2 linked regions of the Drosophila melanogaster genome follow. The protein of the gene in region 1 interacts with the protein of each later gene in a pairwise test. Each region holds a gene or a part of one and is shown on either strand. Other genes may lie near its edges.

Region 1 (3,758 bases):
AAGCTAGACTTGCTTCAAAAAAGCGAAATCCCAAGAGATGAAGCCACAAGATATTTCAGACACCCCTGATAAGAACACAACGTCTTGGGAAATGCATGAATATTTATTAGAGACTGCTCAGTGATGCTGGAAAAGTGAGAGCTCCGAACTCACAACCACCACATATCGCTGAGTGTGGTCAAGTTGAAGTGCCTGCCCAGCAGAAGATTGAATTCCTGGATGAGCGATGCGTTCACCTTGACGGGATTCATAGAGGCGTATGTGGTGACCGTGTCCGGCGACATGCAGCGATCGATGAATCGCGTCATGCCCACCTGGCAGCGGCATCTTCCCATGGCGTTGCACAATCCGTACTCGCAACGCTGGTAGGTGCGTTCCGGACCCGGGACTATGGCGCATCCGCACACATTCGGTGCGATGCATTTGCCGTAAAAACCACATCCACCCACGCAGACCGCCTCGCATCGCTCCCGATTCCGGACGTAGCCCTTGAAGCAGCGGCAGTTGCCCGGCGAGATGCACACCCCATTATCGCAGTTGTCCCCGCAATCCGGCAGACAGGTCGTCGTATTCTTATCGTATCGATATCCGTTCTGACACACGCACGTCGTTTTGTTTGCACAGAAGCCATTCTCGCAGGTCCTGAAAGAAATTTATTAAATTATTAAATGTAAAAGGAGAGGCGTCTAGTTCTAACACTCACATATAGCAATCGCCTTCGCAGGTGATGCCGTTCTTGCGTTTTTGGAATCCGGGGAAGCACTCGCATTCGTTGGGCCGCACGCAGTGACCGTATCCGCAGTCCGGAATACAAATCGGTTGGCATCCCAGGGCGGCGGACTCCCTCAGTCCTCGGGTATATCCCTCGGCGCAGGAGCACTTGCCCGGCTCCAAGCAGACCTCGTTGTGGCCACAGGTGGCGTTGCACTGCGGCTGGCAGAATTTGCGCGATCCGTCCAGCTCGTATCCCTTATCGCACTGGCAGGTGCCGTTCAAGTAACAGCGACCATGCGGACAGCCCAACGGACAGGTGGGCACACAATTGTTGCGGTAGTTGAGCACAAAGTCCGTGAAGCACACGCATTTGCCGCCCGCCACACAGAAGCCGTTCTCCTGGCACCGCTCACCGCAATCCGGAACGCACTGGCTCCAGTCATATTCATAGCGGCGCCAGCCCTTGCAACAAACCTCGATCACGTTCATGTAGGGATTGGTGGAGCTGTTGCCCACAATCTTCACCTCCTTGTCGTACTGAAAGAACACGGCCCTGGAGATTGGATTGGTGTATACAATGCATGTGTGCTTTTGAGATATATCAGTAAAATTAAAAGTTATAAACCATACGAGAACTTGTGCTGGTTATGGGCAAGGTCTAAAAGAGCCCAAGGATTTAATGGGCTTAGATTGTCACCGGCACACACTTACGGCACTTCCTGTCGGCACTTGTCCGGATGTTCCCCTCTCCGGGGCAGCGACAAACCGTTGGGTATTATATAGGGTTTCCGTGTGGTGGTCGAGGACGAGAGGCGTCGCTGTAGAGCCTCGTGCTCACGCAGCAGTTCCCGCTGGCGTTGCTCCGCGCGCAGGCGCAGCTGCTCGTCCTTTTGCTGCTGCAGCTGTTGCTCGTGAAGTTGCAGCTCCAGGCCGTGCAGCACGCAGAGGAACAGGACCAGGAGCACCGAGTGGAGGCACAGAGATCGCAGTATTGTTGACATCTCAGTGCTGGGCGCGGATTCCTTTGTGGCGCGCTACCGAAACGCTCAAGTCGCTATTGTTTACTGCTCCGGAGACGACGCAGTTGGGCCAGCCTCTAATCACAGCCGGAGGCAATGATAAGAGGGCTTCAGCGCTTAATTCGGATCTGGAGGGGGAGATCCAGGGCTCGCAATGCCAATGTATGTCAAGTAAGAACGAGCTAAAGATCGTCTTAAGTTTTATGTTCTTTCATTACGAATTGTAATTTCCCGGATAAATAGTGATGGGATGCAAATAAAATATTTCAGTAACCAAAAGTATCTTTTGGGTATGTAAATTAGCATATTCAAATATATTTTATTTTATTTTATTTATATTTAAATATGCTTTGGGCTCGTTCAAAATAAAATTAGAAAAAATATTTTAGAAAATTATCCAACTGAGGTATAAACAAGTCGCAACACTTAAAAATTTCGACTTACATGTATTCATAATAATAAACTCTCATAAACAAACTGAACCAAATTCCTCTCATCTTAGCCTATGCATCGAATATAGCTGCTTTTCTGATAAGACAAAAAAAATTAATTCTGTTTCAGTGGCGAAAATTAGTACAATTCTAGCTGGCAAATTGTGAACACCTAGAAACTTGAAATAAGGAGTGCTCAAGATGTGGTTGCGAGACTTGCGCATTCGTCTAAGTTTTTTCCACCTGATGGTGTGTCTGCCCAGTATTTACACAAATGTGCCAAGCTATTCGGATCGGTACAACAGAAGGCCTGTGTCCCAGGATCCAGGAATGGGAACCTATGGCCGCGGGTACATGGAAAACCGGCAGTTGTCCTATAATCGACCTGGACCAGCCAACTTCCAAGATCCCAGAAATGTGGAGTTGCAGCCGAAACGACGAGAGTATCTCATTCGATCACATGAAACGCAATCCGATAGGGGGCAACACAAATGCCGCATTTGGGTGCCGTAAGTATGTCAGATACACAGAAAACAACGTTGAAGTATATATACATTAACAAAATTTTTTTATTTTAACAATGTATATATATATATGTATGTTTTGATAATCAGAAATATATATATAAACTTTCTACTGTGAACATAATATCGCAAGCCTTATCTGTACTCCCAGAATTTGTAAAACTTTTAGTTGCCAAAATTCATAAGCATAGACTGAGAATTGGAAGCAATGTGGTGAACTTAGTTATAATATTTTTTGTTTTCCAACATTCGAGCAGCCCCGATACGGTGGAAAAGTACTCGTACCCCAGTGTCATCCAGACGGACCAGGCCAACCGGCTGTCCCTGATCGAGGTCTGCTGCACCGGATACTCGGCCAGTCGTCTGATGGGCGTAACCGTGTGCCGGGCGCAATGTGGCTGCCAGAACGGAAGCTGTAAGATTCCTGGTGAGTGCGAGTGCTATGATGGCTTTGTGCGTAACGACAACGGTGACTGTGTGTTTGCCTGCCCGCTGGGCTGCCAAAATGGTCAGTGCTATCTGGACGGCAGCTGTCAGTGTGATCCGGGCTACAAGCTGGACGAGACGCGACGCTTCTGCCGCCCGATCTGCAGCAGTGGCTGTGGCAGCAGTCCGCGGCACAACTGCACCGAACCGGAGATCTGTGGCTGCTCCAAGGGCTATCAGCTGACCGACGACGGATGCCAGCCCGTCTGCGAACCGGACTGTGGAATCGGCGGACTCTGCAAGGACAACAACCAGTGCGACTGCGCTCCTGGTTACAATCTGAGGGATGGTGTCTGCCAGGCCGATTGCTATCAGTAAGCTGAAAACTTCATGCTGGGAATACCAGACTAATGGCAATCTTTATTCGGTGCAGGAAGTGCAACAATGGCGTGTGTGTCAGCCGAAACCGATGTCTATGCGATCCGGGATATACCTACCATGAGCAATCAACCATGTGCGTTCCAGTATAGACATTATTACTAAAGAATTGATTTTTATTTCGAAATCCCTTGGGCTTGATCGGTATAAAACCAAAACAGAGATTGTGTTTATCCAAAAGCTGCAGTCATTATCTTAAAAAATAA
Region 2 (3,407 bases), on another chromosome or scaffold:
GTATAACATTATTGATACATCACTATCAGGTTTTAATTAAAATGCTTAAAGACAAAATGAAAGACAAATCAAGTGTGCTATTAAAGTAACCTAATGTTTAAACATTTAAACTTTAACCCTTTTCAAAAGAGCATACTCAATTCGTTAGGGGCTTAATTATTTATTTCTGTCTAATCTTTTCATGGCACCTTTAAAAGACTTGCCCCATCTCTGGGCAACATTGAAAGAGGTCAACTGTCGTCCCATTGCCGATGGCTGCAATTGGCGATTAGCGATTTTGGTTCGGTTTGAACCTTTCTGTAACCGACACCGATCAATCCCTATAAATATATTCAAACCAAAACTCACATCATTTTTCATCCAAAAAGACAGTAATTATCGACACTGCAGGTGATGATCGAGCTGAACTAAAGCTAAAACCGAAGCCGTTTGGCTATTTCGGTTGATTGGCCGCAATTAGATTTGGAGGTCAGATTGAAATCCACATGGATCCCTTGGGGGCTGGGTGACAGCAATTTGGGTTTGATATCTTTGACCTTGAGGATGGGGAAAGAGTGCGAGTGGTGTAATACTCCATTTTATTTTTTGTTAAAAATGCTTTTAATGTGTACAGCTTAAAACTAGATGCAGTGCTTGTGGTTTGGTTTTTTTTCGGTGGTTGATTATCCTAATGCCTGAAACGGCGAAGTGGAGGCTTGTAGTGGTAACCAGGCTCGGCGTCGTGGATTGGACTTGGTGCAGGGCCCAAGGGCAGTGCATAGGATGGAATCGGTATGTGGAAATCTACCTCAGGCTGGGGTGGCAGATATTTTTGTTCGGGCTTAGGAGGCAGATACTTCTCGACGGGCTCGGAAGGTGGCAGGTACTTAGTCTCCGGCTCGGCAGGAGGAAGATACAGCTTCTTGGGAGCCACTGGTGGGGGTGGAGGTGGTGGTGGCAGACTGGGTGCAACCTTGGGTGGCAGATACCTTGCCACTGGAGCAGGTGGCAGATACTTCACCTCGGGCGTCGGAGGAGGAAGGTACTTGGACTCTGGCGGACTGGGAGGCAGATATGTGGGCTTGGGCGCCACAACTGGAGGTGGTGGTGGAGGAGGCAGGCTGGGAGCGACCTTGGGTGGCAGATACTTGGCCACCGGTTCGGGGGGCAGGTACTTCACTTCAGGCTTTGAGGGAGGCAGATAAGTTGCCTTGGGCGGTGGAGGTGGTGGCGGTGGCAGGGAAACCTTGGGCGGCAGGTACTTCTGGCGAGGTTTCTCTGGAGGTCCATAGCTATATCCGCTAGGGATATCGAACTTGGCCTCTTGATGATGATGATGGTGGTGATCCGGCTGATAGTGCAGATCAATGTGCAGATCATGATGATCGTGTGACGAGGGAGAATGGTGGTGGGAATGGACATCATAGTGGTGGTGATCATGATCGTGATCGTGATCATGGTGGTGATGGTGATCATGGCCGTGATCGTGGTAACCTCCTCCGTACAGGTGGGACACGTCTGCCCGAATACAGATGGCAAAGCCTGCCAGAGCCAAAAGGATCAGCATGGGTTTCTGTAAAATAACCAACCTCCTGTTAGGTCATCTTTATTAGAGAATATGCCGCTACTGTTTACCATTTCCTTTAAGAGATAATCCACCGATCGAGATGATGTTGCTGCCGTTTGATGACAGCAGGTAGTAATGTCAATAACGTCGATGGTCACCGCTTTTATACAAAGATCGCGCCTTCCTCGACCGGCTGGCTATTTGGTTTTCTTCACACTTTTCTTGGTTTTCATGAACTTGAGGTCGGCCAATTATCGGCGTGTGTTATCTCCCTCTACCCCAAAACAATTAATGCGATTTCGACCAAATTAGCTCTGCACAACAAAGCAGCTCATGAATATGCAGCGGATGCGACGAAATCCCAGACAATTGACGGTGATTGACTCGGCCATCTGTACCACTTTTGTCCCATCCCAATAAATATTTGGGAGATACCGATGCTAATGGGGTTAACAAAACAGCGTTTATTGAGATGGCTTTAACCTTATATAAACCTAAGCCTAGTGGAACGATTTAAAACAAAACTAATCCGGGGAAATCTTCCATGTTCAGTTCGATCGCGATTTTGCTCAGAAGGTGAACTCTTGGGCGGGCACATCGTAGTGGTAACCCGGTTCCGGTTGTGGTGGTGGGGGTGGAAGGTACGTGGGCACTGGCGTGGGTGCAGGTGTCGTTGTGGTTGTAGTGGTGGTGGTGGTAGTGGTACGCGGTGGTGGAGGTGGGGGAGGAAGGTAAGTGGGAGCAGGAGTGGGAGCGGGAGTGGTTGTCGTGGTAGTGGTAGTAGGTGGAGGGGGAGGAAGGTAGGTAGGAGCGGGAGTAGGAGCCGGAGTGGTTGTGGTGGTAGTTGTGGTTGTGGGCGGAGGAGGAGGTAGGTAAGTGGGTACTGGTTTGGGTGGCAGATAAGTCGGTGGTGGCGGTGGTGGCTCCGTCGTCGAGGTAATCACAAATGGTATCTCCGGCTTGGGGTAGTCATAGCCATAGCCATGCTCATGATGCTCCTCCAGGAGTTCCAGCGGCAAATGCGAAACATCACCGGCTGCAAAAGCCAGCAGACAGGTAGCCAAAATGAATAGCTTCTGAAATAGGAAAGAAATCGTGAAGTTCAGATTGCTTCTCATATCTACAACTGACCACACTCACCATCTCCTTTATGATATGTCTAACACCTTGAGCTCTTAAACCACAAATGATTGAGCGTTTGCATCCACGTCGGTTTATTTATAGTCAAAATTCTAAAACAGATCGATACTGTCCATGGCGCTCTAGAGGCCAATTATTATCATTTAAATCGATATAACACCGCTAGCCCCACGGCATTCTTTGTATCGGTAAATGTATCTGTATCTGTAGCGCTCTCCGCAGCCATGTTTATATGAATGATTAGCGCCACAATAGTGCGCCGAAGTTGACAGAGGAGCAGCGTCAACATCGCCAACTTTGTTTCGGAACTATTATGCCTATATGGGGCCCTACTGAGCCGTTTTTCATCAACGTCGTCACTTGGGTTTTCATTGTTACGGTGTTAAAGGTATGACCAAACTTCCGACGGAACCTGGGGCACAAAAGCTTAGCACACAGAAAAACAGTCATAAATTCATAAAAATTCTGAGCAGATTTTGAATCAATTTGAAATAAGTAATCAGCGAGTACTTGCATTCTGATATGGGTTGCTACATATTTTAAATGTTAATTAATGAAATTCATTCATACATGAAAGGTACATGCACTTAATGTTATTTATTTTAAGCTAGTCAAGCTAAATTTTCTCTCAGTGCATCTGAAGAGGTAGTTCCGTCGCTGGAAGCGTTGTAAGCGTGCTCTGCTGGCTGTCATAAATCATTTAGACTTCATTTATAATAAT

Evidence for each region. The genes of interacting proteins can lie anywhere in the genome.
Region 2: the proteins of NimB4 (region 1) and CG15022 interact in a two-hybrid assay, tested with the Drosophila melanogaster proteins (one large-scale study listed by BioGRID).

Annotation. Positions count from the first base shown.
Region 1 is NT_033779.5:13,968,194-13,971,951, forward strand, and holds NimB4 (nimrod B4), read right to left. Parts: upstream 1,784-3,758; 5' UTR 1,716-1,783; coding exon 1,426-1,715; intron 1,268-1,425; coding exon 704-1,267; intron 643-703; coding exon 150-642; 3' UTR 87-149; downstream 1-86. Other genes in the region: NimB5 (nimrod B5), read left to right, coding at 2,366-2,673, 2,946-3,488, 3,548-3,644.
Region 2 is NT_037436.4:4,458,631-4,462,037, forward strand, and holds CG15022 (uncharacterized protein), read right to left. Parts: upstream 1,688-3,407; 5' UTR 1,618-1,687; coding exon 1,615-1,617; intron 1,553-1,614; coding exon 668-1,552; 3' UTR 563-667; downstream 1-562. Other genes in the region: CG15023 (uncharacterized protein), read right to left, coding at 2,116-2,622, 2,687-2,689.